Elephas maximus indicus: one gene and its partners. The protein of the gene in region 4 interacts with the protein of the main gene of each other region in a pairwise test. Links are inferred from orthologs where the notes say so. Each region holds a gene or a part of one and is shown on either strand. Other genes may lie near its edges.

Region 1 (8,208 bases), on a different chromosome or scaffold from region 4:
ACTTAACCTTCCTGTGCCTTGCCTTCATTTCTCCATGGTGTACACTGTTAAGGTGCTTGGCTGCTAACTGAAAGGTCGGAGGTTTGAGACTACCCAGAGACACCTCAGAAGAAAGTCTGGGGATCTGCTTCCAAAAAATCAGCCACTGAAAACCCTACTGGAGCACAGTTCTACTCTGACACACATGGGGTCACTATGAGTTGGAGCTGAAGCAAGAGCAACTAGAAAAAAAAAGGCAACAAATAATGGACCAACACCACAGAGTTGTTTTGAAATGGCAGCGATAATGGTATCAACCTCGAAGGGTTGTTTTGAGGAGTAAACGAGTGAATGTAGGTTAAAGTGGTTAGACTCATTCCTGGCATACAATAAGTGTGGGCCATTACCGTAACAGGACAGTTCTGCTTTCAATTAATTATTAAGCCAGCCCACACAAAGATTCATGTCTGATTGAGAATACTAGTTCTCACTGTAAAGTAGTAAAGTGACAAACTCATTTCTACAGTGGTGACCTTACTGGCATTCGAACCTCATTTATAAATTCGCATGGAGTCAAAGTTCTCTATCAAACAAGTCTCATTCACCCAGTTGCTTTCTGATTTACAGAGTAGGAGAAAGCACTGGGGTCAGAAAACAAGGATGATTCTTGGGAGTGTGTATCCCTAGTTGGATAAGGGATGATCCCTAAACCATACCTGTGCGTGCATGTTTGTGTACACGCACATCACTGTCACTGTCTCTCCAGATGCAGCACCAAAAAAAAAAAAAAAAAGTTGCCATCGCATTGACCCCAACTCATGGCAACCCCACGTGTGTCAGAGTAAGAACTGTGCTTCATAGGATTTTCACGGCTGATTTTTTGGAAGTAGATCACGAGGACTTCCCTCTAAGGCACCTGAGTCTACCTGAACCTTCAACCTTTTCGTTAGCAGTTGAGCAGCACTTTAGTTTGCACCAGCCAGCTACTCAGATGCAGAACCTCCCCCCACCCCCAAAAAATGGCCGAGTCAATTCCAACTCACAGAGACCCTACAGGACAGAGCAGAACTGCCCCACAGGATTTCCTAGAAGTGGCTGGTGGATTTGGTTAGCAGCCAAACGCTTAACCACTGTGCCCGCAGATGCAACACAGACATCACTTAAAATGTCTGGAGATAAAAAGAACCTCATAAACAGCTATTCACGACATTCTCTAAAATACTTTGTTTAGCTATCATTTAAAAAACTCTGCTTCGTTGGATACTTGAGGTCCTGATTTACATCTGAATTTAGAAAGCTGCCACAGCATGCATTAAAAAAAAAAAGCAACAACAACAAAAAAATCATTGCCATCCAGTCGATTCTGACTCACAGCAACTTTATAGGAGTAGAACTGCCCCCATCAGAGTTTCCAAGGAGTAGCTGGTGGATTTGAACTACCATCCTTTTGGTTAGCAGCCAAACACTTAACCACTTTGCCACCAGGGCCTCACCTCATGCATATGTACTTAAAATGCAAATTCCTCATCAGTTTCCACATCTAATAGAGTCTAACTCCAGTCACACCCTCTGTTCACCCACACCCCAAGGCCTGGGCGGCTTCCTTCACACCCAACCCACCAAAACTTTCGTCTTCAATAAATGACTGTTCCACCCATGCGAACCAAAAAAAAACAAACCCATTGCCATTGAGTGTATTCCGACTCATAGTGACTCTATAGGACAGAGCAGAACTACCCCATAGGGTTTCCAAGGAGCGCCTGGTGGATTCAAACTGCCGACCTTTTTTGATTAGCAGCCGTAGTTCTTAACTACTGTGCCACCAGAGCGAGTAGGTACAAAATCTTCAATTATAAAGACTTAATACCCCCACTGCAGAGAAACAAAACTGGATAACCATAGAAAAGTTAAAAAAAAAAAAATTCTTAATCCTTGAAACTCTACCTTTGGCAATGAAAGTTACTTCAAAATTTGATGTAAGTTTCAGCCTTTTCTATAATGAAGTTACATGAGATTGGAAGAAAATCCTGGGATTACATTGGAGCCTTTTACCTTGCATTTCCTACATTTTCCGTAATTATCTACCCGAATGAATGTACATAGGACCTCATTTCTGTTACAGTATGGAATTGAAACACCTCAGACTCTTTTTAATTTCTCTTATTTCTCCAGATCACCGAAAATATTCTAGGAACAGAGTCAAAAATTACCAAGGACTATTGGCCAAGATTCATATGGTTTTTGGTTTATCGGTCTCGAAAGCTGCTCTGGGAAATTCAGCAATCTCATCCGCTGCAAATTCATCGCATGGAACTACGACGATAAACTATTCCTTCCGAATACTAACAGCCGAGATTATTCTGCCGCAGCCTAGATTCTTCCTGCCATAAGCACCAGTACAGAGCTTGCTAAAATGCTTCCTAAGATCCCGAAGTCAATTTCATACGCGGCTCCTCTCAAAAGTCCCGAAGGAGCCCCGCTCGCCCACCCCACCCTGCTAGCAGCGCACTTCCCGTTCGCTCTGGCCGGTCAAGAACTCTAACTTGACAGTGACACATATTGAAAAAAGAGGAAGTGGCTAAAAGGCCATTTCAAGAAATATTTAATTTTTTTTTATAAAATGGGATCGATGGCTCTTTCTGCCCGGAAAGCTTCAATGGGACGTAACCACCATACACGCTGTAAAGTTACAGCGAATGACAATGTTGCAAAAAAGGCGACTCCTTTTTAGAAAATAAAAATAAAACCCTCGAAATCCTTCTGCTATCAAAAATGATCTATCCCTTATAGCAAACGCAACAAAGCTAGCAATTACCACCCTGGTGGGTCCGATCCCGAAAGCGACGCTCGGGGCCGGGGACGTGCCAGGTCTGCCCTGCCAAGTGGCAGAGGAAACGCGGGCGAGGAGACAGCCAGGACTCGGCAACCACCTTCCTTACCTGGTTTGACTGGTTTGGGTGGAGGCTTCGACATCTCGCTTCCTGGACTGGCAAATCCTAAAGACCACGCACAAAAAGCCAACCAAACTTCCCGTCCGCCGACACTCCAGGGAACCCGAAGTTTCTTTTTGTCTGGTTTGCAGTCCTGCGCCTTCAAGGACCTGCGCCCACTCTTGGTAACAGGAGGCGCGGACGCAGAGCGGCTCCGCCGTGCCCTTCCCCGCCCCGCGGTCGCCAGAGCAGTCCCGAGCGCGCGGCCCGGACGACGAGGAAGTGGCCGCCGCCTCGCCGCGCGCTAATTGGCTCCCGGGCTGGCAGCCCCGCCGCGGTAGGCGCACAGGCGGCGCGCACGGCGGCGCGCGCCGCAGCGGAACCAGCGGAGTCCAACAAGGGCGCCGCAGGCACGGCTAGGATGGCCCCCGCGCGCGCGCCGCTCACGGAAGAAGGCCGGACCCGCGCGAGGTCGCGCGCGCCAGGACACGCTCGCCGAGGCCCCGCCCCGCCCCAACGGGAGGCTGGACCTTGGAGGAGCGTCCGGGCTTAGTAGGAAGGATCCACCCCGTGCCGACGTTTACCTGGGCACCTCCAACCTGGGAGTGGGCTCGGGGAGAGGGGTTGTGGGCCTCTCGGTTAGCGAGCTGTGGGTAGCGGCGGGTTAGTTAGTATCAAGCGCACATTTGGTAATCGCCTCCGCCGCTTAGCTTGGGAGGATTCGAACTGGCGCCAGGTGAGTACCTGCGTGACCCTGCCGCGTCGCGCCCCCTTGCTGTGGCTTGGAGGTATTTCCAGAATGTCCCTGCGCCGGAGTTCAGGACAACATTGGGTTTTGCAGACCCTCTTGGGACTCTTACTACCTTAAACGGCCTAATAAATATCCTGTCCAGGAGAACGTTTACTCATGACGGCGTAGCGCTTTAAGGTCACATAGTAATCTTTAAAATAGGAGTACTGCAGCCAAGATACCGCACTGGTAGTTGGGAGACGTCACTAGGGACGTGTCAGACGGGAGCAGAGTCTCATGCCTCTTAGGACTGAAGTTGACCAACTAATGCCCGCGAGCTAGGAATGGTTTTTACATTTTTCAATGGTTGAAAAGAAATTTTTAAAAAAGATTATTTTGTGACACGTGAAAATTAGATGAAATTCAAATTCTTTTGTCCCTAAAGTTGTATTGGAGCACATCCACACACTTTTGCTTATTTATCTTCTGTGGCTGCCTCCACGTTATAAAGGTAGCGTTCAGTGGCAGCCCTCAAAGCTGAAAATATTTACTATCTGGCCCTTGATAGAAAAAGTTTGCAGAGCAGTTTGAATTTCCCAGCAGATTGAATTTCCAGTGGAGGAAGGGCTGGATCGTATAAGGAAGGCAGTTTGCGTATTTCCGAAATAGCACAGTCAAATACTATAAGCCCGTTGTACATTCGGTGAAAGAAAAATTGAAAGTAACTGTTTACATCAGAGCCTACATAAAAAGAAGCTCCAATATTTCTGGTATTTAAAAAAAAAAACCCAACCCTACTGCCTGCCGTCCAGTCGATTCAGACTATAGCGATCCTATGAAAAAAAACACCGTTGCTGTCGAGTCAATTCCGACTCATAGCCATCCTATAAGACAGTAGAACTGCCCGGTAGGGTTTTCAAGGCTGTAAGTCTTTTCTAAAGCAGACTGCCACGTCTTTCCCCCAGAGCCTTAGTGCCTTTCACTTAGCACCCTAGAGCTTTAATCACTGTGCCACCGCCCCCGGGACTCCTCTGCATTTCTGGTAGTGGCTGGTAAAAGATACGGAGATTCCATGGCGGCAGCCCCGGGCAATTTCCATGTTTACTAAAAGGGAGCAAAGTTTAAAGAATAGTAGGAAAACTGCTGTCCTATCTCATGGAAGAAGATAATCAGAATATCTGTCTTAGTTATCTAGTGCTGCTGTAACAGAAATACCATAAGTGGACGGCTTTAACAAAGGGAAACATTCTCTCACAGCCTAGGCAGCTAGAAGTCCAAATTCAGGGTGCCAGCTCCAGGGGAAGGCTATCTCTCTCTCTCAGCTCTGGGGGAAGGTCCTTGTTAACAGTCTTCCCCTTGTCTAAGAACTTATTAAGCACAGGGACACCAGGTCCAAAGGACACGCTCCCCTCCTGGTTCTTTCTTGGTGGTAGGAGGTCCCCATCTTCTCTTCTAGATTGTCTCTTTTGTATCTCAAAAGAGATTGGACTCAAGATACAACCTGATTTTATAGACTGAGTCCTGCCTTATTAACATACCTGCGTCTAATCCTGCCTCAGTAACATCACAAAGGTAGGATTTGCAACACAGAAAAATCATCAGGTGACAAAATGGTGGGAAATCACACAATAGTGGGATCATGGCCTAGCCAAGTTGACACACATTTTGGGGGAAACACAATTCAATCTGTAACACTGTTGGATAAAATAAATGTATAAAGAGTCCTGAAAACATTTCACTCTTGTTTTTTTAAATGCAGACAGCTCTTTGAAGTCATTTGAAAATTACAACATTTTGCCCCCACATTGTCTTCCGTCCTTCATACTTAGGGAGCTTCTGTCATTTTTGCAGCCAGCTGATTCTGGACATGCCAATCTGACCATTCTGTACTTTAGAATCCAAAATGCACCACGTTGTTAGTGAAATGAATTAAACAGAATAAACACATACCCTTTATGAGAAAGTGGTGTTAGGTGCAGTGGTAAAATTCTTGCCATTTGTGCAGGAGACCTGAGTTGGATTCCTGGCCATTGCTCCTCACTTGGAGCCACCACTTGTCTGTCAGTGGGGACCTGTGTGTTGCTATGATGCTGAACAGGTTTCCATGGAGCTTCCAGGCTAAGATGGACTAGGGAAAAGGCCTGGCAATCTACTTCTGAAAATTCAGTGAAAACCCTGTGGATCACAATGGTTCAATCCCCAACTGAACGTGCATACCTTTCTTTCCTTTGTGCATGGAGTGACCAGGAGTTGGCGGCACATTCGATGGCAGCTTACAATCATGAAAAACAGACTCGATAGCACATTTTACTTAGGATTTTTTTTTAAAGTAATGAAACTATTCATTTTGAGTTTCTTTTTAACTGCCCCGTGCAAACATTCATCTATGAGTTGGAATCAACTCCCTGGCAATGGGTTTGGTTTTGGGTTTTGACACAAATGTTCTCTTCTGCTGAGGAAAGCTTTGCATGTATTGGAAGAATAAACTACATAAACATTCGGCAGAATTGAAGTTGGCACATACTCCTAGTGAAAGGCTACCCTGTATTGATGAGGCTGGAAAGTTCAGATGCTTTTCTCCCTGAGGATATCAGATGATTTACAGTTTGTAGTTGATATCGAGTTGATAAAATTGGTATCTGCTACTGCTATCATTTGGGGCCTCAAAACTCTTTTTACTTTTTTTTTTAACAGCTTCCACATTTACCATTTAGTGACATTGATTGCATTCTTCCAGTCGTGCAACCATTCTCACCGCCTTTTCTGACTTGTACCTCCCCAATTGACATAAATTCACTGCTCCCTAAGGTTCCTATGTAAACTTTCTGTTGTCAGTTTGATCCCATACAGATAATTCTTAAAAGAGCATAGTGTTCACAGTAGACATTTTTTACTACTTGAGCTAAACTATTGTTTGGTTTTAAGAAGACTTTAGGGGATATTTTTGGTTTAAGGTTTGAAGATTATTTGAGGGCAAGAGTTTCAGGGTTCATCGAACCTTCATGGCTCTGCAAAGTCTAGAGTCCATGGGAATTTGAAGTTCTGTTCTGCATTTTCCACCTTTTCATCAGCGTTCTGCCGTAGAATCTTTGATCAAAATGTTCAGTAATGGTAGCTGGGCACCATCCATTTCTTCAGTTATTATGGCAAAAGAAGCAGTTGTTCATGGAGGCAATTAGCCACACATTCCGTATCCTCCTGTTCCTGACTCTCCTCCTTCCTCTGTTGCTCCAGGTAAGTAGAGACCAGTTGTGTCTTGAATGGCTCCTTGCAAGCTTTTAAGACTCCAGGCACTATGCCATGAAGTAGGAGGAAGAACAGAAGCACTAAACATGTTGTTATGTCAATTAACTGGAATGTCCCATGAAACCATGACCCTAAACCTCCAAACCAAGGAACCAAATCCCCGAGGTGTTTGGTTGTACATAAGCAGCCTCAGCAGCTACTCTTTTTTTTTTGGGGGGGGGGGGGAGCGCTTCTTGTAAGTCTATCTATCACACAATTTTTGCCAATTCAACTTTTTACAGGTTGTCTTAGTCATCTAGTGCTGTTATAACATAAATATCTCAGTTGGATGGCTTTAACAAAGAGAAATTTATTCTCTCTCAGTCTGGTAGGCCAGAAGTTCGAATTCAGGGTACCAGCTCCAGAGGAAGGCTTTCTTTCTCTGTCAGCTCTGGAAGAAGGGCCTTGTCATCAATCTTCCCTAGGTCTAGGAGTTTCTCCACACAGGAAGCCCAGGCCCAAAAGACACGCTCTGCTCCCGCCGCAGCATTCTTGGTGGTATGAGGCCCCCAAGTCTCTCTGCTCACTTCCCTCTTTTGTATCTCAAAAGAGATTGACTTAAAACAAAACCTAATCATACAGATTTAGTCCTGCCTCATTAACATAACTGCCTTTAGTCCTGTTTCATTAACATCACAGAGGTAGGATTTGCAACACATAGGAAAATCACATCAGATGACAGAATGGTGGACAATCACACAATACTGGGAATCATAGCGTAGCCAAGTTGACACATTTTGGGGGACACAGTTCAATTCATAACACAGGTATACAACTTACTGACAGCAATGACAATAATCAGCTGTGCAACCCCACCCTTAATCAATGAGATATTTCCATCACTGTTAAGACCCCCTTTCCCCCTTCCTCCCACTCCTGGTAACCACTAATAAACTTGGGTCTCTATACATTTGCCTTTTCATATAAGTGAGGTCGTACAATATTTGTCCTTTCGTGATTTCTTTATTTTACTCAGCATAATGTCTTCCAGCTCCATCCATATTGTAGTGTATCAAGACTTTATTTCTCCTACTGTCTGGGTAGTATTCCATTGTATGTATGTACCACATTTTGTTGATCCATTCATCTGTTGATGGGCATATAGGTTGTTTCTACCTTTTGGCTATTGTGAAGAGTACTATAATGAACACTGGTGTATACAAGTATGTGTTTGAGTCTCTGCTTTCAAGTCTTTTGGGCGTACACCTAGGACTGGAATTGCTGGGTCAGATGGTAGTTCTATTTTTAGTTTTTTGGGGAACTGCCACACTGTCTTCCACAATG
Region 2 (8,030 bases), on a different chromosome or scaffold from region 4:
GGCTGGTGGGATGGCATGGTGACAGATCAGAAAACATGAGCTGCCTGGCAGGTTGGAGGACTAAAAAGGGGCCGAGGGGCTGGAGCAGCTACCCTCAGCAATGTCTCCTCCCCCATTGGCAGCCTTGTGGGGCTGCCCAGACCGTTAGCCACAACTGCAAGCAGAGCCAGCACTCTCAACTTGAGAGGTCCCTGGCATAGGAAGCCACTTCCTGGGGATCCACCATCCAGTCCCTTCCTGCCCAGTACTACACTCTTCACTCGGGGCCTCTCTCTGGAAGCATCATCTTCTTCTCAGCTCTCTGCTCTGGGAGTTGCTCCTCCAGACCTCCCGCCCCCACCTGACTTGTGCAGCCTGGGCCTGAGATCACAGTCTGGGCTGGACACATTGGCATGTATTTTCCCAAACCTAGAGTAGGAAGCCAGGGACAGCCCAGGCTCCTCTCCCTGGGCGACCGCATTTAGCTGAGTAAAGACATTCACCTACGGATCAGCACTAATATAGTCTGTAATTTATTGCTTCTTTAGCCATGTGGGTTATGGAATGCAGACGAAGGGAGGAAAAGCTAATGAAAATAGTGGCTCATCAGGGACTGTGCTCATTTTCTGGCTTGTCCCTTGGTTTCTTCTGAGCTCGGACTGGACGCCGTGAGCTCTGCTTCTTTCCCTGCTGGCGCCCTGGGCCGAGAGGCTTACTGGCTGTGCGTCTCTGAAGGCTGCTGTGGGGGCTGGGGAGCCCCCTCCTCAGGCTCACTGGCCACACGCTCACCATTGAAGCCCAGGGTCTCCGACTGCCTTGACACTTCCACTGACTCTTCCTCAGGACTTGTTTTGGGCCCAGCCTCTTCCCGTGGCTCCAGCTTGGTGGGAGACTTTTTGTCAGAAATGGGATCAGGGGTCCATGGGGACTCGGTGCTCCGGGAACTCTCCCCCTCCTTATTGATGGCCGCGGAGGACAGGCCCCGTGCCTTGGGCTGCACCCAGCAATGGCTGAGGATCTCGTCGATGTGCAGCCTCCGGTTGACGTCTGGCTGAAGCATTCGGTAGATGAGGTCCTTGCACTCACCTGTCAGGTGCTTGGAGCGGGGGAAGTTGACACGGTGCTCCTTCTGGATGCGCAGCATCTTCTTAATGTTGGAGTCGTCGTAGGGCATGGAGCCGCAGACCATGATGTAGAGGATCACGCCCAGGCTCCAGATGTCATACACCTTGGGCTGGTAGGGGATGCCCTGTAGCACCTCGGGGGCTGCATATGCCGCGGACCCACAGAAGGTCTTGCTCAACGTGAGTCGGCCACTGTCGTCCCGCAGGCAGCGTTTGGAGAAGCCAAAGTCAGACAGCTTGATGTTGAAGTCCTTGTCTAGGAGAAGGTTCTCGCACTTGAGGTCTCGGTGGACAACATCCAGGTCATGGCAGTATTTGATGGCTGAGGAGAGCTGGCGGAACTTCTTGCGCGCATCATCCTCGTGCAGGGCTCCCCGGGTTTTGATGAACTCAAGGAGGTCGCCCTGGACCCCGAGCTCCATGATGATGTAGACCTTGCCATCAGAAGTCTCGAAGATCTCGTAGGTCTTGACAATGGAGCGGTGGTTTAGCATGGCCAGAATCTCAATTTCCCGGGGAAGGAATTTCTCCAAGAAGTCTGTGGGGGCTTTCTTGCGGTCGATGATCTTGACCGCCACATTGAACTTCAGGCGCTCGGAGAAAGCAGACTTGACTTTTGCATATGAGCCCTCTCCCAAATTTATCCCCATGATATAGCCTCGTCGTTTGAGGACGGCGGCGTCATCCATGGTGCCGGGAGCGCCCAGTGCCTCTGGGGCTGCCCTCTACATCCCTGCGGGACATGGGCCAGCAGTATCCTCATTTACACTGTGGACAGAGAGTCCTCTGGGCTGGCCCAGCCCTGTCTCTGCCTCCTAGAGGCCAAGTCTGGGTTGGAACTTTCAGCATTGTCTCCCAGGTGACTTCAGTGGGTGAAGTCACAAAGGAGGAGTGCCCTGGGGGAATGAGGCTCTGGCCTGTGCTGCTTGGCCTTGGAAACCTAGAAGGCCGGGCAGTGTGCTGGAGTGGACCAAAAGCCTGCAGAGAGTGGTCTCATGCCAGCCTGGGATTGGAGGTAGGGGCTATGGGGATTCATGGGTGTGCCCATGCTTCCCTGGCCCAGAGCCAGGACTGCTTGTGAACCGATGGGGTGATGATTGCAAATTGGGGCATTCCAGGAATCCCAGGGCTGTATCAGTCATGGTCCCAGCAGGAAATTGAAGACATATTCAGATTAAGATCATCTGAGGAGGCTTAATAATGGGACTATTTACAAAGGTGGGGGCAGAGTGCAGTACCCTGAGGCTAGTAATGACCCCTGGCCCACATGGAAGGAGGGAGGGAATGATCACTGGAACCTGGGCTACCTGGAAAGAGGCAGTGATCTTCAGTAGAGGGAGGGAAAAAGCCAGCCTGCAGTGTCCCCAGAGGAAGAAAGGGGGGGACAAAGGGGGAGCAGTTCCTTGACCTCTTTTGCCTCCACCTTCCTGCTGGGGATCCCACGTGGCCGGCCCACACAGGCAGCCTCCCAGCAGGGTATAGAGTGTGGAGGTGAATCAGGAGGCCCAGCAGTAGCTGCTGCTGTAGGAAGAAGCCAGGATTGCTCTCTCCCTGAACTTTGTGGCTGGACTTTCCACCTTCCTGTGCTGCTTGTTCCTCATCTGAAGCTCTGTGGGCCTGCTTCTCTGGCAGTGGCTCTGTGGGGGACAACTGATGGGAACTTCTGCTCCTGGCTTTTGAGGCCCCTTGCAGGCCCTGCCCAGCCCATTTCCTTGGCTGGGCTCCTAGAGCAGGCCGGGTCAGAAGGCTGGGACTGGATCCTGCTCTGGGTGCCAGCAGCTGCTCCTGGGTATGTACTTTGAAGGTACAAACAACAAGGGCAGCACTGGGCAGGGGACATTGTTTCCTTGGGCAGTGGGGCCCCTCTGCTGGGATAGGTCCTTTGTCCACCGCATGCTCCAGGCCTCACGTGGTGTTCGACTGTGGCCTTACCCACCCAGGTTGAATGGGCACCCCTCTCTCAGCTGCCCCCAGCTGTGTAAGGGGCATGGGAGGGCTGCTTCTGGGCAGTGGGGTGGAAGTCTGCCGGGCTGGGGCGTGCCAGGTCCCCACCAACCTTGGCCCTTCCCCCTTTCTCAGCAACCCTTCTTCCCCAGCACTGACACCCTCTGGCAGGCCTTTCACACATGGCTGGTGGTCTTGCTGAGGACACCCCCATCTGCAGCTGCCCTTCCACATTCACCTTGTTACTGATGACAGGTGTGAGACCTGCACTAGGAGCACTGTTTCCAGAGCCATTCAGCTGTCATCCCTGTCCCAGCAGCTGCTCAAGACATGGGGCTTTCCTCCATGCAGATTTGGTTTGTGGTAGCAGGACCCTTTCTCCAGAGGCCAGCTTTGCACTAGTGTCTTTAGGATCTGGTAACTTTTCTTGTTTTGATTCAATTCTTTTAGGCTATTTCCTCATCTGTTTGCAACATTTTGAGTTGTGTGTGGCTGTGAAGCCGCACTTGCCTGTCAGGGTTTACCCTCCTCACCCAACCCTCAACCTCCTTAAAGATAGCCCAGGCCCTCCAGCTTGCCTCCTCCCTCTGTAGCGGTTTGGACTTAGAACGACCACTCTAGGGCATACCCAAGGAGCCCTGGTGGCGCAGTGGTTAAGTGCTCCCTTGCTAATAAAAGTCTGTTAGAGCTGTTCCACGGGAGAATGATGCAGTCTGCTTGCATATAGATTACAGCTTTGGAAACTCTATGGGGCAGTTCAACTCTGTTCTTTAGGGTCGCTATCAGAATCGACCTGATGGTAACGGATTTTTTGGTTTAGGGCGCACCCTTGGGCTGCTGACTGGACCTGCAGGTGTGCAAGGTGCGAAGATCTTCCCGTCCCAGGGTCCCTGTTCATCCACCGCCCTCGTGACTCCCTCCGCGTCCCGCCCCTTTCCCTTTACGCTCTGCCTGGTGGACACGCCCGCGGGCCACCGTGTCCTTTGCCCACAGGCCCCGCGGCCCCACCCCTCTGTGTCCCGCCCCTTTCTGTGCCCGTCATTGTGGTCCTGCTCTCGCTGCCCCTCCCCTGTGCCTTGGGACCGGAAGCTCTTGGGAGGCTCTGCTGCTCAGGTCCCGCCCCCGAGTCCCACCTGTCTGCTTCGCTAATAGTATGCTACTCTCCCTGTAGTCCTGCCCCTTCCGTTCGGGCACGCCCCTTAGTCCCCGCCCCCACCGTCTTTCCCTTAGGCCCCTCCTGCCGAGCCACTGCCGCTCAGGCTCCGCCCTCCACCCAGGCCCCGCCCCCTGAGCCAATGGTCCTCAAGCGGTTGGGAACGCGGTCCCCGCCCCGCCCCTGTGTCCATTGGCCCACGCCGGCGTCGCGGCGGGAGGCGAGGCGGGGCGGCGCAGCGCGGCGCCGAACAGGACGGCCGCCATCTTGTGTGGAGCCGGAGCCGGAGTCGGAGCCAGAGGCTAAGAACTAGTGTGCCCGCGAGCTGGCGGCCTAGCGCAGCCGCAGCCCAGCGGAGCCCTCTCACGCTGCCTTTCCGCGTCCGTCCCTGGCGCCCAGCCCCTCAGCCCGGCCCAGTCCGGCCTCCCCGCGGGGTCACGCGGCCGCCCCGGGGACAATGAACGGAGGATAAATGGTGCCCAAGGCAGACAGCGGTGCCTTCCTCCTGCTTTTCCTGCTCGTGCTCACCGTCACCGAGCCGCTGCGGCCAGGTGCGCGGCGCGGTGGGGGCGGTGTGGGGGGTGCGGCGGCGCGGCCAGGGTCTTCCCGGGATCTCCTTCCAACGGGAAGGGGCCGGCCGAGGCCTGGGTCTCGGGCAGCCACGCGCCCCACTCCCGGTACCGAGCTGTGAGTTTTACCTGGGTCCAGACGCCTTATACATCGTGGAAATTTGTTCTCGGGGGATGTTCCCTTCGGATCCACGTTTATTGAGAGCTGCGTGCTTTGAGATTGATGAAAGCGGGAATGATTTGCATGACTCGACTTTACTTCTGGGGCCTGGGAGTCCTTTAGACGAGGAGCTGCAACTCTTAAGCATTCCCTCCTTGCGGGTCCAGCGTCTGGTGTCAGGCTTGGGGGTGGGGGCGAGAGCGCAGCTCGTGGAGGCACCTGGTTTCATATGCTTCCGCCCGGCAGTGGCTTCATGCCGGCGTCTCAGTCCTAGGAACTCCTCGGCTATAAAGCGGTAGCTGTGTCCTTATTGTCACTCAGGTGTTGCGCTTGAGAAGTACTCGGCTCAGAGACGGGCCCAGAGGAAGTACTAGGAGTCCTTGAAGCATCCTGTGCAGGAAGCAAGCTTCTGGAGACTGCATTGCTGCTGTGTCGCCAGAGCGCGAACAGTGCCAGGCATTTAGGTGTGCTCAGTTTATGCCACGAATGATTAAATGTTTCTGGAACTTCTCTGGAGCTTGTGTTTTTATGAGTCTGTGGTGGAGAATCAGAAGGCTCCTGATAAATTTTCTCTCCTGTTCCTGATGTACCCCTCCTTCTTGAACTGTTCTAAGACAATCACACAAATCCCGCACATGCAGGACTAAGTGATCTAGGAGACACAGTGCTAGCTTGGGAACCACAATGCTTTAGAGGCCCTCAAAAACGTTTTAAGTCAGAAGGAAAAAACTAATTTTTGGTCGAACAAAATTTTTTGAATATATGTACTAACACATTCATCTTTATACCAAAAAGTATAGTTCTTACTATTTCCATGGAGGAAGGGGCCCTTGAAGGCATAAGTGTCCACCATCTTCTAGTGTGTAGAGCCGTGGGAGGGGGGGGAGGGGGAAGGGTTTTTGCCACTCCTGCACCTCTGGGCTTTTTGTCTTTGCCATTTGCATGGAATGCTCTGCCTCCTCCCCAGTGTCTACATGGTAGCCAAGGCCATGGGCCCATGCTCAACCCAGAGTCTTCAGTGATCCTTTTCTTGTTCCACTAGTAGAGCTGGTTGCTCACTGCTTTCTGGGTGGCGAGATGACTGGTTGTGAGTGTGTCTTGGGGGGAACGGAAGCCAGGACAGAGGCACCTGTGGAGGGAGGTTACGATATGGGCTGTGTGGGTTCTTGTGATTAATTGCTCACTGCATGTATAAACCTGTGGAGAAGTGAAGGTCGTCATGTCTTGGGTCCCAGTAATCAGGCCCCAGGTTGGCAGATTGGGTCACTGGGCTTGAGAGGTAAAGGTACCTGTCTTTTTTGGGGTCCACTGATTCCAGGTCTAGCATCTCTTGCCTGACTGGTACTGGTGACCAATGTCCCAGGCTGCTTTTGCCTTACCATTCTGTCCACAGAATTGTCAGCCAGCCAGCAGCAATTTAGAAGGTATCTGTTAGTGCTCGCTGCATGCCCAGCGTTAGGAATACTCAAACGATGGAGAAGAGAAAACAACTGCTCCATATAGGAGTACCTGGTGTGGAAGCGGAAACCTGTGGCATAGTGGTTAAGAGCTATGGCTGCTAACCAAAAAGTCAGCAGTGTAAATCCACCAGGCGCTCCGTGGAAACCCTGTGGAGCGGTTCTACTCTGTTCTATGGGGTCGCTATGAGTCAGAATCAACTGGACTGCAACAGGTTTGGTTTCTGGTTGGGTGTGGAAGCAGAGACCAGGTGTAAATCAACATTTTCACTACTGTGTGGTAAGCCCCACTAGTATGGGAGCTCTGAGGCCGGTCAAGCAGGGACCAGCCATTTGTACTTGGGGAAGCAGACTTCCTGGGAGACCTCACACTTAGGTCTGAGTTGGGGGGAGTAGTTCTGGTGGGGGAGCGTAGTAACCCTTTAATTCCATGTCCCTCCAAATCAGAACTTTGCAGGAGCCCCTGGGGGTATCTTGAATGGCCCTGGAAAACCCTGGCTCCAGTTGGCAATGAGGGTGGGTCTCCCTCTGGTCAGATGTTTCTCTTGTGTGCTGTGTGTGTCCCTTCACATGCTTACCCTGTGTCCTTCCTCAGAGTGCCAGGCAGGGTCCGCCGTGCTGGTGCTAGGGGGTGGAAATGCTTTTCTGGTCATAGCCTGGATTCTTTTTATCAGGGGTCTTGGCTTACAACCATACTTGAGTGTGAGTTGTGTTGACATTTTCACTATGTTAAGTCTAAGTCTTCCAATCCATGAGCATGGAATGTTCTTCTGTCGCTTTTAGTTTCTTGCAGTGGTATTTTATAGTTTTCGTTGTGTAGATCCCTTACATTCCTGGTTATGTTTATTCCTAGGTATTTTATCATTTCAGGGTTATTGTAAATGGTATTTTTTTCTTGATTTTGGAGTTTCTTGCTAGCGTAAGAGAACTCGGCTTATTTTTGTGTTGATCTTGTACCCTGCTACTTTGCTGAATTCTATTACGTCCAGTTGCTTTCTTGTGGAATCTCTGGAATCATGTTGTCTGTAAATACAAATAAAATAAATTAATAAAAATGTATTTTAACCATTTGAATACTGCCTGTGCACTTGAGTGCACACAAAATGTGCACTCAGAAATCTGATTTTGCTATGGCTGTTGTTTCTCTTGAGGTCAGCTGGCCTTCTCGTCCAAATACCACATCATGCCTCTGATTAAAATGTGGTATGAGCGTTGGATGAAACTGCTGGTAGATATTACATCACATGCGGTATAGCTGTTACTCTACTTCTGCCCCACCCTCTTTTGCCCTGGTCTTATTCCCCTCACCATAAAATATAGACTGCTTGCAGGTTGCTGTGCTTTTCTTTTCTTTTCTATTGTGCTTTCATTGAAAGTTTACAAATGAAGTCAGTCTCTGATACAAAAATTTATATACACTTTGCTGTATACTCCTAATTGCTCTCCCCCTAATAAGACAGCATACTCCTTCCCATCACTGTCTCTTTTCATGTCCACTTGGCTAGCTTCTGATCCAGTCTGCCCTCTCATCTCCCCTCCAGATAGGAGATGCCAACATAGTCTCACGTGTCTACTTCATCCAAGAAGCTCATTCTTCACCAGTATCATTTTCTATCCCATTGTCCAGCCCAATCCCTGTCTGAA
Region 3 (7,839 bases), on a different chromosome or scaffold from region 4:
TACTTATTTGCTGAAAAAATGGCCTGTGAGGCTAGCGAATTTACCACCAGGGTTTCCTGCAAATCAATATACCAAAAACGGAATCGACTTGATGGCACTGGGTTTGGTTTTGGTTTTTGGTATATTGATTTGCAGGAAACCCTGGTGGTGTAGTGGTTAAGAGCTATGGCTGCTAACCAACAGGTCTGCAGTTCAAATCCTCCAGGCGCTCCTTGGAAACTCTACGGGGCAGTTCTACTCTGTCCTATAGGGTTGCTATGAGTCGGAATCGACTCAACAGCAGTGGGTTTTAGTGGGTATTGATTTGCATATTGACTTTCATTTCAGTGTTTCTAGAATATTTTTCCATAACATTACATATTCTTTGAAAATGTAAATTCGCTAGCCTCACAGGCCATTTTTTCAGTAAATAAGTAAATTCCGATCCCTATAGGACAGAGTAGAACGGCCCCCGTAGAGTTTCCAAGGAGCGCCTGGGGGATTGAACTGCCCACCCTTTGGCTAGGGGCTGTAGCTTAACCACTACACCAGCAAATCAATATAAAAAAAATATAGACAGTGCAAATTCAATTTTGTCTTTTTATAAAGTAAACATGAATTTAAAAGAATAAATGAGAGAAACCTCCCTAAATGTTCATCTTATCATCTGGGGGATAGGCTGAATAATTTTTTAAAAATTCTTTTCTTCATTGTAGTCTATATTATCAAAGCATTTTTCTTTGGTGCAGCTTGGTGGGGTAGAGCACTGGCCTGGGAGCCTGGGGCCTCCACTGTCCTGGATCTGTTCCCCACCCTCCCAGTGCCACTGAAGCCCCTCAGAAAACATCAGCCCCTTTTTTTCTTTTGTGAAATCTGCCTTCTCTTATTCCCAGGGCACTGTTAGGACAATTGAGACAACTTTTAGCACTTAGGAATCTTTAGAGCAAAGGGGCAGAGCATGCATTCAATGAACTGTGATAGAAAGCTCGTGACTCATCGTTTCCGTGGCTGACAAGGCGTCCTTGAGCGAGTCAGTCTCCGTTAGCTCTTCCCAGAAAGGGCCGGCAGAGCTTCCTCCTGGAACTGCCGCAGCCTCTGGGAGGAGGCCCAGGGTGCAGTGGTGAAGTTTGTATCAGGCGCATCAGAGCCAGAATACCTGGATGGTGCAGCCCAGGGCCCTGCCCCTGCGGTCACAAGCTCAGACCCTTGGGAGGGGGCGCTGGGCACCTAGCCTGCCATCTGACAACAGGTGAGCAAGTACCAGCCCTCATGAAGCCTGGAGTAGGCATGTCCTGGCCTAGCTGTGTGTCTGTGTTCTATCCAAACCCCATTGTTACTGACACAATGATAAAGTTATATCTTAAAAAAAATCAGTATCCCTTGAGTATTTTTCACAAGGAGACCTCCAAACAGGGTGGTTTTCTTCTGCTAGAGAACAAATGGCTCTTGCCACTCCTTTTTCTATAGGTTTTCCTCAAGGTCAAGCACCCACGCCCTTTTAATGGCTTTTGTTTTTTTAAGCTCAGCCCTGGTGGTTAACTTAAATCCTTTCCTTGGTGAATGATACACAGAGCTTAGCTCAATACACAGTTTCCTCTTGACAGATTCAAATACAGACACTGATAATACTGCCCACCTAGGATGTAAGGTGGGCAGGGTTCCCTGGTAGCCCAGTGGTTATGAGCTATGGCTGCTAACCAAAAGGCCGGCAGTGTGAATCCACCAGGCGCTCCCTGGAAACCTTATGGGGCAGTTCTGCTCTGTCCTGTAGGGTTGCTATGAGTCGGAATTGACTCAACGGCAAAGGGTTTGGTTTTTTGGTTTGGGACTTGAAGAGCTGGATCCTAGAACATTCCTCCAAACGGAAAACAACTCAGATACTTAATGCAAATGAGGAATTTCAACTAACGTTGAGATGTAGCATAATGCAAATAACCCCCTCACAAATCACCCTCTTGTATCTACTTATCAAAATATTTATAAAATGTCTTTGCACTGTCATACCGAACTAAGCCTTTTGGTATTTATTTTTTCCGTAGGATTCTTTTCGTCCTTATACAAAGTCTGATGCAATGACTAAGCACTGGCTTTTAGAAAGTAGACTGTCCCTTTTTTTGTTCTCACTAGGTATCCACTGGAAACCCTGGTGGTGCAGTGGTTAAGCGCTACATCTGCTAACCAAAGGGGTCGGCAGTTTGAATCCGCCAGGCGCTCCTTGGAAACTCTATGGGGCAATTCTACTCTGTCCTATAGGGTCCGTATGAGTTGGAATTGACTTGACAGCACTGGGTTTGGGGTTAGGTATCCATTCAAATCAATGTGCGGATGGAGGACTGAGAGTACCGCACAGCTGGTGGTGAATGACACCAAAGAAGAATTTAATAACAGGCCACAATGAAGAAAACAAAAAAACAATTTAGCCCTATGGCAGATAATGAATTTTATCAATTCTGACCTCTTTTCTTGAAAAATATGTACATTTAAAACCTGATTTACAACTGAGGAAGTCAAAATTGTCTTTTTAAAAGTAATGTATTGGTAGAAAATGAAGTTCAGTGGAGACTGATGCTCATATAAATTGTTTGCATGGTAATATCAAAGAGAAAAATAAATAACAGACATCTCACTTTGATTTTAATGTTTTTCTTTTTACCCACAAAAACTAAATTTTCAGCTGCCAGCCCAGAGACCACCTAGTAACCTGGTATCAGTAGGTCTCAGTAAAGGGGGAGGAAGGGCAGCGTTTGATCTATCAGGTAAAGATTAGCCAGTAGGAGACCTTCCCTTCTTCTCCCTCCTCTTCTCTTTATCAGCTCACTGTAACGAGCCTACTTTGAAACATTGGTTTTTCTTTTTGGAGGGGTGTAGAGAGCTGGTAGCAGGGCTGGGCGTGGTGACGTGAGCATTTCCTGTCCCTTCGTGAAGCCGCAATGAGCAAGAGGCATCAGCCCTAACAGGTAGAGGCTCGTGGGAAATGGCTGTTACTGAGGAGTACCAAAAAGAAGGCTTCTCAGGGAAAGGGTGTAAGGTTAGTTTCCTTACAATGCTCCCGATGACCCCAGGATAAATATTTCACTGAAATAAGCCCTCTCCCCAATCACATGGTTAAGAGCTAACCAAAAGGCCGGCAGTTTGAATCCATCAGGCCGCTCCTTGGAAGCCATACGGGGCAGTTCTACTCTACTCTGTCCTATAGGGTCGCTATAAGTCGGAATCGACTCGATGGCAAGGAGTTTGTTGTTGTTGTTGTTTTAACACTGTCCTATAGGGTTGCTATGAGTTGGAATAGACTTGATGGCAGTGGGTTTTTTTTTTTTTTTTTTGCTTTCCTGGTTCCCGTTGGCTTCCTATAACTCCTTCAAATGTATCAGCTTAAACTGAGTGCTTCTGTGCAGAGTCTCGAGCCACAGACTCTGCTGGAAACTTAAGAGAAGAACATGTCAAGGCGAGGTCAGAGGACCCTCACATTGTTTGGTGCCCACCATTTTATTTTCTTAACTTGACTGAGAAATCTTTCTGATATAACGCAGACATAGATTTCCTCCTGGCCTTGTCAGCCCCAGGCCCAGACAGACACAGTTCCCCAGGAGTACAGCATACCTGCTGAAGAAATGCACCCAGATCAGAACGGTATAGGAGTCTGTCCTATTCTGGCTCTAGAAAAGAAATATTATAATAAGTAGGTGGGCGGGATCTGCCCTGAGTCACAAAACAGCCAAAATAGCATCGAGACCAAACGGAGGAAGACATAACTATATCACTGTATACCTTTTTCTTTACAAACTTTGGTACCTATTTTTCAGAAAAAAAAAATCCTGAAAAGGAAACTCTGCAAAATCCCTGTCATTATTTTTAGTTTGTTACGTACCACAATCGGTCGCCATTTAGTAGTTACGTTGTTGATGTGTGCCATCCTGTCTATTCTGATTCATGGTGGCCCTAATGCCGGAGTAGAACTGCCTCATAAAGATTAGAGCCTGGGAAGCCCGGTGGGCAGTTCTGCTCTGTCACAGGGGTTGCTGAGTCAAAATCAGCTCGACGGCACACAATAACAACACAACAACATTTATGGGAGCAGATCACCAGGTCTGTCTCCTGTGGAGCCACTGGGGGGTTCGAACCTCCAACATTTTGGTTAGCTTAACCATTGTGCCACCAGGGTTCCTTAGTAATGTCTGGAAGAGGGTAAATCTAGGCTGGGTCACCCAGGTTGGTCTCAGGTGGGCATGAAGCAGGCAGGACGGCTTTGATAGCCCCTGATTCGTTTTGTTGATTCATTTTCTCTTTCTTTGCCCCTTATCTAATACAATGTTTTTCTAACAAAGCTTCATGTGTGACCACTGACCAGCATTTTAATTAAATAGAAACATGGAGTAGAGCAAAAAGCATAGTTTAATATTCTCTGTGACCGCCATTCCCATTCCCGCTCTGCTTTTCTGGTCCTTTCCATATCTGTGTGGTGTGGGATTGGAGAGGAGGGGAGTATAAAAGGCAAGAGGGACGCACCTCCCATTTCCTGCCTTATAAGGTCAGTTCTCCCCAGGTGGCCTCGGCCCCACCCCCACCAATTGTTCTGGTGCCTTCTCTCCCCCAAAGCCAGTTCTTTGTGCAACGTGGCCGGACTCATGTCCCTCTTGTCAAACAATCACTTGACCAACCAAAAAACCAAACCTGATGCTGTCGAGTCAATTTCAACTCAGAGTGACCCTGTGAGACAGAGCTGAACTGCCCCACAGGGTTTCCAAGGTGGATTCGAACTACTGACCTTTTGGTTAGCAGACACGGCTCTTAACCACTGTACCACCAGGGCTCTAGTCCTTATATCAGCTCTTGATAATCTTTTCTTTCTCTGCAATTCACATTTCCATTGACAAGACTCTTTGCTAATTGAAGAGCACCTTTCGGAGACCTCTCACTGCTGCTTGTAGGGTGCAGCAGTGTATCTGGCCATTTATGGCTTTAAAATGTGCCAGCAGGAGAAGCTGAACACATGTTCCCCTCAGGTGAACTATGAGGCACCTAAGGCAAGTCATTTGTATTTTCTAAACCCAGGACTGACTCCAGGGATAGGAATTTCAGATCAGGAAGGAAGTGAGGGGCATGGGTGGGGACACGTCAGGGGTCCTCACACCCCTTCAGGAGACGCTGCCTAATCAAGGCCTTGGGAAGGAGGGCCCAGGCTTTATGTGAGACACAGTGCCTGTTCCTGGAGATAAGCCTCAAGCCTCCAACAGCAATAAACACCCCATTGTGACATCCCAGGAGATTTGCTTCAAAGAAATCACAGTGAGCTATTTTTTCCCTCCTGGGCAGAATACAATTTTTTCAGATATCTGCAAATCTGGGGAGAAAGCTTCCACTCCTAAATGGAACGATTCTGATGACAAGGGGAAAAGAGGCAAATTGCACACACACCCCAGACAGACCCCTTCCCAAGCCTCTGCCAGTCCTCACTCTGCACACCCACAGCAGACAGACCCCTCCCCAAGGCCCTGCTAGTCTTCACTCTGCACACACACCCCAGACAGACCCCTCCCCAAGGCCCTGCTAGTCTTCACTCTGCATACCCACACCAGGCAGACCCCTCCCCAAGGCCCTGCTAGTCTTCACTCTGCATACCCACGCCAGGCAGACCCCTCCCCAAGCCCCTGCTAGTCTTCACTCTGTATACCCACACCAGACAGACCCCTCCCCAAGGCCCTGCTAGTCTTCACTCTGCACACACACCCCAGACAGACCCCTCCCCAAGCCTCTGCCAATCTTCACTCTGCACACACACACCAGGCAGACCCCTCCCCAAGCCCCTGCCAATCTTCACTCTGCACACACACACCAGGCAGACCCCTCCCCAAGCCCCTGCCAATCTTCACTCTGCACACACACACCAGGCAGACCCCTCCCCAAGCCCCTGCCAATCTTCACTCTGCACACACACACCAGGCAGACCCCTCCCCAAGCCATTTCTAGTCTTCATTCTGTACTCACACACCAGGCAGACCTCCCCCCAAGCCCCTCCATGTCTTCATTCTACACACCCACACCAGGCAGACCCCTTCCCTAAGACCCTCCTAGTCCTCATTCTGATTGAACTACCTGGTTATGAATAATATCAGACGATTATCTCACAGAAAAAAATGTATTCTGCTTCTATGCTAAAATTTAGTTAAACTATCATCCCTGGATTATATCATTAAAATATTTGACTCTGTGTGTGTGTTTGTCCCTTAGTCTATGATGGACCAAAATAACTGTTTTACCTACTCACTCAAACTCAAACGAAACCAACAGCTATCCAGTGGATTCCGACTCATAGAGACCCTACAGGACAGAGTAGAACGGCCCGATATGGTTTCCAAGGCTGTAAATCTTTATGGAAACAGACTGCCACCTCTCTCTCCCGAGGAGTGCTGGTGGGTTCAGATAACTAAAACTCTGTGTGTGTACCTCAATGGAGTTCAGCTTACTTGACAGTCTTAATGAACAAATATCCACGGAAAAGTTTAAAATATGATTTTTTATACAATCTCAATGTTCCTGAGTTCCCAGCAATACAATTATAGTATTTACTGAAGTCAATACTTGCATGCTTACTACATGGCAGGCTCTTTCTAAAACCCATACATGTCCTAACTCAGGTCATCTTCCCAATAGCACACAGGTGGGTCCTGTTATTTCTCCCCATTTTACAGGTGTGAAAACAGCATGGACAGGTGCAAAGTCACACAGGTCCAAGGGTAGGACCGCGTCCCACACACAGGCAACCTGGCTTAGCATCCATGTGTGGGTGCGCTCTGCTGTGGTGGCATTGGAAGTGACCTGCTGTAAAAGGCCCAAATAGCTTGCCTCATCATCATTTATTGAGTGCTCGGGCACTGTGTCAATGAGAAAGCAATCTCAACAAACTTCGTAGTTTTGTCATCCTGAAAAATGACTAGCCTTCATGTGGTTATTGTAGCTCAACTGTGAGCTTGTACTGAATTTAAATAAAAAATACACTCTACACCAAAGGCAATCAGGATTAAAACAAGTAGCAAATCCATTGTTTCATTTAAGAGTCTTCCTTGGTCTGTGAGTGATCATGACTGAATGGGTGTTCTGGAGGCACTGAGGACCTGGAGACAGTGGGAGGGGAGGGTAAGTTTTACGGTTGAAGCCATTGATGTTTAACGATCAAGACGTTGGCTCCTGTTTTTATGCTAACGGTTGGATGGAGCCAATGCTTGATGAGGCACTGTGCCAGGCAGGTGCTACGGTGACATCCAGCCCAGGTAGCCTTGTTCTATATCGTCAGGTCACTTCTGTTTTTATGTTAACGGTCGGACAAAACGCTTTTCCCAGATGGAGTCAAGGCTTGATCACTGTGCAAGGCAGGTGCTATGGTGACACCCAGCCCAGGTGGCCTTCTTCTGCACCCAGTTAGGTCAGTTCTCCAGTTGTTTCTCTCCTGCCACACCATCCAGGAGCCTTCTTCAGCCCAGGGCCACACTGATATGCCCCTCCTCCAACCCCCCCAGGGCACTCTTAGGCCAAACTCAGGGCTCCCTCATTCCTGCCCACTAAACCAAAAAGCCAAACCTGTTGCCCTCAAGTTGGTTCGGACTCATAGTGACCCTATAGGACAGAGTAGAACTGCCCTATAGGGTTTCCAAGGAGCAGTTGGCAGATTTGAGCTACTGGCCTTTTGGTTAGCAGCTGAGCTTTTAAACACTGCACCACCAGGGCTCTGTGTCTGCTCCCAGCTGAGAAAAAAAGAGTTGTAATCCATACAACGGCTCACCCTTGGTAGTGACTTGCAAAATGAAGACCTGATAGTCCATACTTAGGTGACTCTGAAGGATCCCCAACAGGAAAGCCTGGCCC
Region 4 (7,854 bases):
CAAACTAACTTCTCCTCTTGCCTGACTCCAAACTCATCAAACCATTTTTTCATTATATTTTGGCTTCTAAAGGATATTGTTCCACAGAATGGAAACATGCAAACCAGATGACATAGATTTCTGGCTAGCTCAGCATGTTTCTTTCTAAATGTAAATTATAAACTGGTGTTTTAGATCTAGCCAGGGGGTTAAGAGTATGATTCCAGAGGCAGGCAGACCTGGGTTTGAGTCCTAGCTCTGTCCCTTTCTAGCTGGGTGACTTTGAGCAGGCTGTTTAGGCTTTCTGAGCCTCAGTTTCCTCCTGTGTAAAACTCGGATAATAATACTACTATCCCCATAGGGTTTTTGTGAGGTTGTGGGTGAGATAATGCATCAAAAACCCATGAGAGGTTTGGGGACCATGGTTTCTTGGGAGATCTAGGTCAATTGGCATAATAAAATCTATTAAGAAAACATTCTGCATCCCATTTTGGAGAGTGGTGTCTGGGGTCTTAAACGCTAGCAAGCAGCCATCTAAGATGCATCAGTTGGTCTCAATCCACATGGAGCAAAGGAGAATGAAGGACACCAAAGACATAAGGTAAGCATGAGCCCAAGAGAAAGGATGGGTCACATAAATCAGAGACTACATCAGCCTAAGACCAGAAGAACTAGATGGTGCCTGGCTACAACCAAGGACTGCAATGACAGGGAACACAACAGAGAATCCCTAAAGGTGCAGAAGAGCAGTGGGATGCAGACCTCAAATTCTCGTAAAAAGACCAGACTTAATAGTCTGACTGAGACTAGAAGGACCCTGGAGGTCATGGTCCCGAGACCTTCTGTTAGCCCTAGACAGGAACCATTCCCAAAGCCAACTCTTCAGACAGGGATTGGACTGGACTATAAGGAAGAAAATGATACTAGTGAGGAGTGAGCTTCTTGGATCAAGTAGACACATGAGACTATGTGGGCAGCTCCTGTCTGGAGGGGAGATATGAAGGCAGAGGGGGACAGGAGCTGGCTGAATGGACACAGAAATACTGGGTGGAGAGAAGGTGTGTGCTGTCTCATTAGGGGGAGCGCAACTAGGAGTATATAAAAACCAAAAACCCAAACCGAGTGCTGTTGAGGAGATTCCTACTCATAGCAACCCTATAGGACAGAGTAGAACTGCCCTATAGAGTTTCCAAGGAGCACCTGGCGGATTCGAACTGCCGACCTTTTGGTTAGCAGCCGTAGCACTTAACCACTACTCCCCCAGGGTTTCCAGGAGTATATATATAAAAAAATATATAGCAAGGTGTATATAAGGTTTTGTATCAGAAACTGACTTGATTTGTAAACTTTCACTTAAAGCACAATAAAAAAAAAAATGACTTAAGGACACTGAAGGGTTAGATTTCTTAGTCTAGCTGTCAAAAATATTGTTTTTTTTCAAGTTCTTTTGAATAACATATGATTTGGCACACATTTTAACAATTAAACTGTGGACTTCACATTAAATGAAAAAAAAAAAAACCCACGAGAAAGCTTAGCATAGTGCCAGGTGTAGTAAATGCTCAATAAATATTAGCTGTTATTAGGATTCTGAGAGTCTGATTAGTGTAAGTCATTTCCCTGGACCTCCTCACTTCTGAGTAAAAGAAAAAAATCTACCTCCTGGGACTAAAAGCTGACCAGCTGGCTCCTAAGCCAGCATCTTTACGTCACAGTGCCCCTACTATTTTACGACCTCCCCCTCTCTGGCTCTGAGCTAAGGTCTTCTCACCATCACATAGACTGAGAAACTAAAAGGAGTTTGGTCTGAGATGGTGCCAAACTCAAACCCAGCAGGCCCCCTCCAGGGGTATGGGAAGATGATGGATGTCTCTCCGTTTCTCTTTCCAGTTTCACAATCCTCCTTCCCAGAGTTCCCAAGCAGAGGGGGGCCAGAACACTGGTGGCAGCCTCACTTTCCCTGGGAATCACTTGGATTCAGGCTACAGAGGGCATAAGACAGAAAGCAGAGGTGGGGCTGTGAAGTACTCCTTCCTGTTAGGTTTGAATTCTGTCCAATGGGGCCAAACAACCCAGGCTTGCAATTACAGGAAACTAGAGAAAGACCTGGCAATCTGCTTCTTACAGCCAAGAAAACCCTATGGGGCAGTTCTACTCTGTCACATGGGGTAGCTAAGAGTCAAAATTGACTTGATGGCACCTAACGACAGCAACAACAACAACGATGGGCAGAGTTGTTATAGACGGATTGATGATGGGTGTGGCCCACCCCTGCTCTACCCCCTTCTCAAGGGCCCAGCCGACTTGTGAGGGAATGGCTGGCTTAATGGGGGTGGCCGTGGACCACTTGTTCTTTGGGAGGCCGCCTCCCACTGTCCCATCCAGCCAGCTGTCTCCTCCCTTTGTCCCTAGTCCCCGGAAAGTGGCCTGAGGCTGGCTGACATCACCTCCCCTCCTCCCTCTATTTTCTCTTTCTCTTGCCAGAGCGTCCTTCTTTGCTCCATTTCCCCCGTTTCCTCCGTCCCTCCTCTAGAGATGGGCCTCTAAGAGTCCTTTGGCCTCTCCCATTTTCCCTGAACTACATCCTTTCAGCCCCCTCCCAACCTTTTACTAGCCTCCCAATCACAAGCCCCTGCCGACCACAAGTGGCCACCTGTTCCCGCCCAGGAAAGCAGATAGGTTTCTGGTTACACTTGCCCCCTCCCCTTGCTCCAAGAGCAGCCTCCAGAAAGAATAGAGGAGAATGGGGAGGGGGAGGGGAGGAGGGGCAACTCAGAACCCGTAGGAGCGCAGGGGATAAGTGAGAAGGAAAGGGGAACAAAAGTGAGAGGAGGGGAGACAGCCTTCTGGCGAAGAAAGGGACCCAGGAGAGAGACAAAGAGAGGAAGAAATAAAAGTGACAGGACCGCATGGCAGGCTGTGGAGGTCGCTGTTCGGCAGCCTCCTCTCACTGATGGGACTCACCGACGTGGCTATGGCCATGGGCTCGGCCTCTGGCGTGGCCTGCTCCAGGCCAGGCTCGGTTTCGCTGACTTCAGCAGCGGTTGACCCGCACCATGGTCCACTGCCTCCAGGCGAGGAGGCGCCCCCCGGCTGCGGCGCCTGAGCCGTGGCCTCCGCCGAAGTTGGAGGAGGAGAAAGAAAATCCACAAAACTCTCCAAATGGGAGGCAGCCTGGCCAGGCAGGAGGAGGAGCGAGGCGGGTCGGGGCGTCGCTGCGGGACCTTATCCAAAGGCGCGCGCTATGTACTGTCCCGGGGGCCACCAGGCTGGCAAGGCCCCCGGGGCTGCCTGCCCTAGGCCGCGGAGGCTTACCGGACCCTCATGGGCCTAAAGCTCCCTTTTAGGGCCCGGACCGGCGAGAAGGCGGGAGCTGGGGCTGTACTCGACGCCTCTCCAGGCCTCTCTGAGCGGCCCCAAGGGCTGGGAGAGGCCGCCGGGGCGGTTGAGCTGGACGAGTGAGTTTAGGGATCAACCCTTCCCACCCGGGGGGCGCGCAGAAGAGTGGGACTCCCAGACCACTGCTCGGGGCACCGGAGGACACTGCGGCGGCACCCGCTGGGAGAGCAGGAGAGCGAGAACTGAGACTTTTGTCCCTCTTCAAACTCGCCCAAGTTAGCGTGGGGAGGCCGGGCTGCCACCAAAGGCCTCCGAGAGCGTGGCCGTTGGGCTGGGTTGCTGGAGTGGCTGCTTTCTGCCCAGACGCTCGCACCACAGGCAATGCGGCGGGCTTACGCTCGCACGCTCGCTGTAAGCAAGCTGGGGAGCCTGGGGGCGCCGCGACGGTGCTTCGCCCCCGGCTGTCGCCTGGCAGCAGCCCGCACGCAGGCACAACCCGTAGAGGCGGGGCGGCCTGAACAACTCCTGCTGGCGGCCAGGCAGAGAGGGGCCCGCCGCCCTCCTCCAACCCTCGGCCTTGGCGCGCAGGGCCGCGCACGACCGCTCGCACCCTCTGCCCCCTGGCACCCGAAGCGGGCCCCGCAGCCCACGCTCGCACGCACCCTAGGCAGGGCCCCTCGGCACCTCCCAGGTGTCTCTGGGAACGAAGGGAAAGACCACAAAGCAAAAGAAGAAGCAAAAGGAAGGCGAAAGAGAGCAGTGGCTAAGGTCCTGTGGACTCGCCTGGGGGGTGTTGGGGAGGGACCCTTAGAGGGTCCCCCCCGAAGCAGGAGGGCTGGGAGGCTCCGGGGGTCGCGCGTGGCCCCCAGGCTCACCCCCCGCTCTCGGCTACCCTCCCTTTCCCGGGCTCCTGGCTCCCTCTCAGTGCAGTTTCTTCCTCCTCCCCTCCGGCCCGCTCCGACGCGCGGCTCAGTCCTGGGGATTAAGAAAAAGAGGGAGGGGAAAAGGGAGGGGGCGGAGGAGAAAGGAGGACGATCCCTCCAAAGGCGGGTGTTGAGTTTCAGCTCCGGACCCTCGGGCCAAACGGCACTCCCCCTCCCGGCCCCTTTGCTCCGCGCCTCCGTCTTCCCGACTACGCGGCGGATCTCCCGGTGGTCTGGTCAGCTCCCCGCTGGGAGCTTTCCTCTCCCTGCCACGCCCCCGCCCTCCTCCGCCAGCCCCGCGCCTCTCTCTGCCTTCCTTTCATTAGCCCCACATCTGTCTTTCCCCTGGGAGGGAGCGTGCTCCTTCCGCCTTACTGGGGTCCCCTGCAGAGCCTCTCCCCTCCCTTGGATGACAGGGTTATCCAGGCTGTTCCTGAGGGGAACAGGCTGGAGTCTGGGGCTGGGCATGGATTCTGGCACTGGCAGGAGAACGTGAAGCCTGAGCTCCTGGCCCCAGAGCTGCAGAAGGGCCGGTTGGGTAGCCTATCACACTTTGCCAGTCTGGGCCTGTCCCCCGCCCTCAACCCTTCTGGTTCCGTGCTGCCTGGGAGAAGCAGGAGTGGTGACAACGGGCACAGAAGGGCAAAAACTCTTTTAGAAGGACTAGGATCTGTACCCCAAGGAGTTTCAGCTGAAATGACAGGGCTCTTTTAATCCCCCACACCTCTCTGCCCTTCCTATTGTTACTCCTTAGATTTCCTGTTTCTTTCCAGCCACTTCTTTCTCCTGGTTCTCCCTCCTGGGCACACACCAGAGGCTTGAGGGAACCCTACCTACTTCCATTTCTGAGTTTCCTGGTCCTTAAAAAAGGAGACACCAAACAGTGTTGAAAGCTGTGGTATATTTTTCAGTGTTTACATTTAACAAATTAACACTTCAAACACATAGACAATGGCTCTGTGTATAACCTCCTTAGGAGATAACATCCGAAGTCTAAATTTAAGGCCCTTTTGGAACCTGAGGACTTGGACTGTGCTCTCCTCGCCACATACGTACACATTCCGCAGATCCACATATCCAGGCATTTCCCAGGACACTGGGAGGATACCCGTGCCAGCTCTTTCACCACCCTATTGCCTGGGCACCTATGAGGATCCCTCTGCAGAGGCGAGGGATGGAGCCTATGAGGGTTAGGGAGAGATGCTGGGGTGAACGTGGGGATGAACCATATTGGCTCTGGGCTTGGCTCAGAGATGGGGTGCATCCTGAACAGACCCAGACTCCATTAGGTCAGTATGGGAACAGATACATCTGAAGGGAGAGTGCCTTCATCCCAGCTCCATCCTCATCTGAAGTGGCCACTAGGGAAGGTTCTCCAACCTCCAGACCTCAGCCCTGGAGAGCAGAGGAGGGGGTGGGGGCTGGCCACCTGGAGCATAGACATTCAGCTGTGGGGGGTGGGGGGTGGGGTAACTGGTATGGTCTCTGCCCAGGGGACTGTCAAAGCAAATTGGGGTCCAAGGTGGAGGTGGGCAGGAAACCCTGTGTTCAAAGAGGAATGCTGTAACTGACACCAAAGGAAATAGGTGGAGGCCAGAAAAGGCTAAGCAGGAAAGAAGCTGCTAGGGCCAGGGAAGACTGGTGGCTTGGGAGATGAGTAGTGGGGCTCACTGCGTGTAGCCCAGTGCCTGGGGAAATGTGGATGAGAGATATCAGAGTACAAACCAGGGAAATATGACTGTGTTCTGGAGTCCCCAAGCATGAATGGAGCCAGTCTGACTCCGGCGTGAATTCTGGTTTAGTAGCTGTGTGACCTTGGTCAAGTTACATAACATCTCTGAGTCTCAGCGTCTCATCTGAAACAGTGACTTTGGTGAGGAGGAAATATATGTAAAGTGCCTAGCACAACGATCTTCTTCCATGGCTTTTCCTCTTCACCTTTCCTCCCCCTTTAACTTGTGCTTTCATAAGCTCATGCCCTTTGTGAAGGCAGGAGGAGCCTTTTCTCTGTCCTTAGGCCTCATCTCTGGCCTCTCCTTTGCACAGAGGTTTAAGCTATTCTAACTTGTTTAGGGAGAGCTCTCAGCTCCAAGTAAGGTTGGAGAAAACTCAGGTTTAGTGGGCAGCTAAGACCTTGGGTGGGCTGCAATCTCAGGCAGCTTGGCCCTCAGTTTGAGAGTCTACCCTTGCTGTGTTCAGTGGGTAGAAAGAAAGGAACTCCATCCAGCTTTCAGGACTCCAGTCTTCTCTCCCAGTCTTTCTCCTCCCCAGCAGGGTCTGACCAGCTGTGTCTTCCTTGCTCTACCGCATGGCTTCTTGGACTTGTCCTTGTTCCTCTTGCTACCTAAGCCCTCTCAGATGCTCATTAATTCTTCCCTGGTCTCTCCAATCCCCTTCTCTTTGGGTCTCCACAGCACCAGATGGTGTGAGTTCTCATCCTAGTTCTAACAGGACCTATGTAACCTTGTCCAGTTACGTGACCTCTTGGAGGCTCTGGTTCCTTGTCGGTAAGATGGGGCTAATAATGGAACCAATAGCACTGGCTTGTGTTGAGGATTCAGAGTTAATCTTAAACCCTGAGAACAGTGCCTGGCCCATGATGCGTAAATGTAGGATAAAAGGAACGACTATTACTATTTGGTGCCAGCCATGTGGGTGTTACTTGGTGCCAGAATGTGAAGAATATGATGCCTGCCCTTGAGGACCTCACATCCCGTGGATCATACCTGAATCCAGTTAAAACCTTCCCGCTTGGAATAAAATCAAATGCTCCATCATAGCCTGTCAGACTCTGCATGATCTGGTCTCTGCCCTCTTCCACTGTCTTCATCTCATTCCCCTCTCCCCTTCATTCTTTGCTTTCCATCCACATGGTCCTTTCTGTTTCTCAAATATGCCACACTCTTTCCCACCTTTAGGACGCCGCATGCTCTGCTTCCTCTGCTAAGAAGATTCTTCCCCTAGGCTCTTTCCATCTTCATGTCAAAATCTTCATCCTCAGAAAGATCTTTCCTGGCCTACCGAGACGAGGTTGTGACCTCTCCCCTAACAGTAACTCCCTATCTTCTAATCGAGTTTCATTTTCTTCATAGCACTTACTGCTATCAGAAATTACCTTGTTGCCTGTTTATCATCTGTCTCCTCTTGAAACAGGGCAGCAATCTTATCTGGCTTGTCCTTGTCTGCATTCTTAGTATTTACAATTGTGCCTGGAATATACTAGGTGCTCAATAAATATTTGGTGAGTGGATGAATGTACAAAGGCAGCCATGACTATAGGACAAAGCTTGAGTAAGCCAAGGGCCCTCCTTGGGGAGGCACCAGCCTTGGGCTCAGGGGAGTTGCCAGGCTCTTTGTCCCATTCACTCTGATTCTTCTTCTGTTGTCTCCCAGGCCAAACTGGGTTCTCTAAGCCTAAACATCTTTGTAGCTAAAAGTTATATTAAAAATATTTAGCAATGACAACCCAAGTGCCCAGATGAATGAATAAAGTGCGGTATATACATACAGTGGAATATTATTCAGTCATAAAGTTCTGATACATGCTACCACATCGGTGAGCTTTGAAACCATTATGCTGAGTGAAATAAGGCAGACACAAAGGACAAATGTT

What was found.
Region 1: the proteins of EFS (region 4) and OSTF1 interact in binary tests that used the Homo sapiens proteins (3 or more experiments, as listed by UniProt). The two-hybrid records come from large-scale screens. The link is inferred for Elephas maximus indicus from reciprocal best matches to the Homo sapiens genes EFS and OSTF1.
Region 2: the proteins of EFS (region 4) and TSSK1B interact in binary tests that used the Homo sapiens proteins (3 or more experiments, as listed by UniProt). The two-hybrid records come from large-scale screens. The link is inferred for Elephas maximus indicus from reciprocal best matches to the Homo sapiens genes EFS and TSSK1B.
Region 3: the proteins of EFS (region 4) and SORBS2 interact in binary tests that used the Homo sapiens proteins (3 or more experiments, as listed by UniProt). The two-hybrid records come from large-scale screens. The link is inferred for Elephas maximus indicus from reciprocal best matches to the Homo sapiens genes EFS and SORBS2.

What each region holds. Positions count from the first base shown.
Region 1 is NC_064827.1:91,299,544-91,307,751, reverse strand, and holds the start of OSTF1 (osteoclast-stimulating factor 1), read right to left. Parts: upstream 3,164-8,208; 5' UTR 2,953-3,163; coding exon 2,919-2,952; intron 1-2,918.
Region 2 is NC_064840.1:34,810,193-34,818,222, forward strand, and holds TSSK1B (testis-specific serine/threonine-protein kinase 1), read right to left. Parts: upstream 3,485-8,030; 5' UTR 1,793-3,484; coding exon 692-1,792; 3' UTR 498-691; downstream 1-497. Other genes in the region: DGCR2 (integral membrane protein DGCR2/IDD), read left to right, coding at 4,673-4,751. UniProt on the Homo sapiens protein: Testis-specific serine/threonine-protein kinase required during spermatid development. Phosphorylates 'Ser-288' of TSKS. Involved in the late stages of spermatogenesis, during the reconstruction of the cytoplasm.
Region 3 is NC_064840.1:80,608,401-80,616,239, reverse strand, and holds the start of SORBS2 (sorbin and SH3 domain-containing protein 2), read right to left. Parts: upstream 3,636-7,839; 5' UTR 3,580-3,635; intron 1-3,579. UniProt on the Homo sapiens protein: Adapter protein that plays a role in the assembling of signaling complexes, being a link between ABL kinases and actin cytoskeleton. Can form complex with ABL1 and CBL, thus promoting ubiquitination and degradation of ABL1.
Region 4 is NC_064828.1:34,695,511-34,703,364, forward strand, and holds the start of EFS (embryonal Fyn-associated substrate), read right to left. Parts: upstream 3,190-7,854; 5' UTR 2,962-3,189; coding exon 2,944-2,961; intron 1-2,943. UniProt on the Homo sapiens protein: Docking protein which plays a central coordinating role for tyrosine-kinase-based signaling related to cell adhesion. May serve as an activator of SRC and a downstream effector. Interacts with the SH3 domain of FYN and with CRK, SRC, and YES.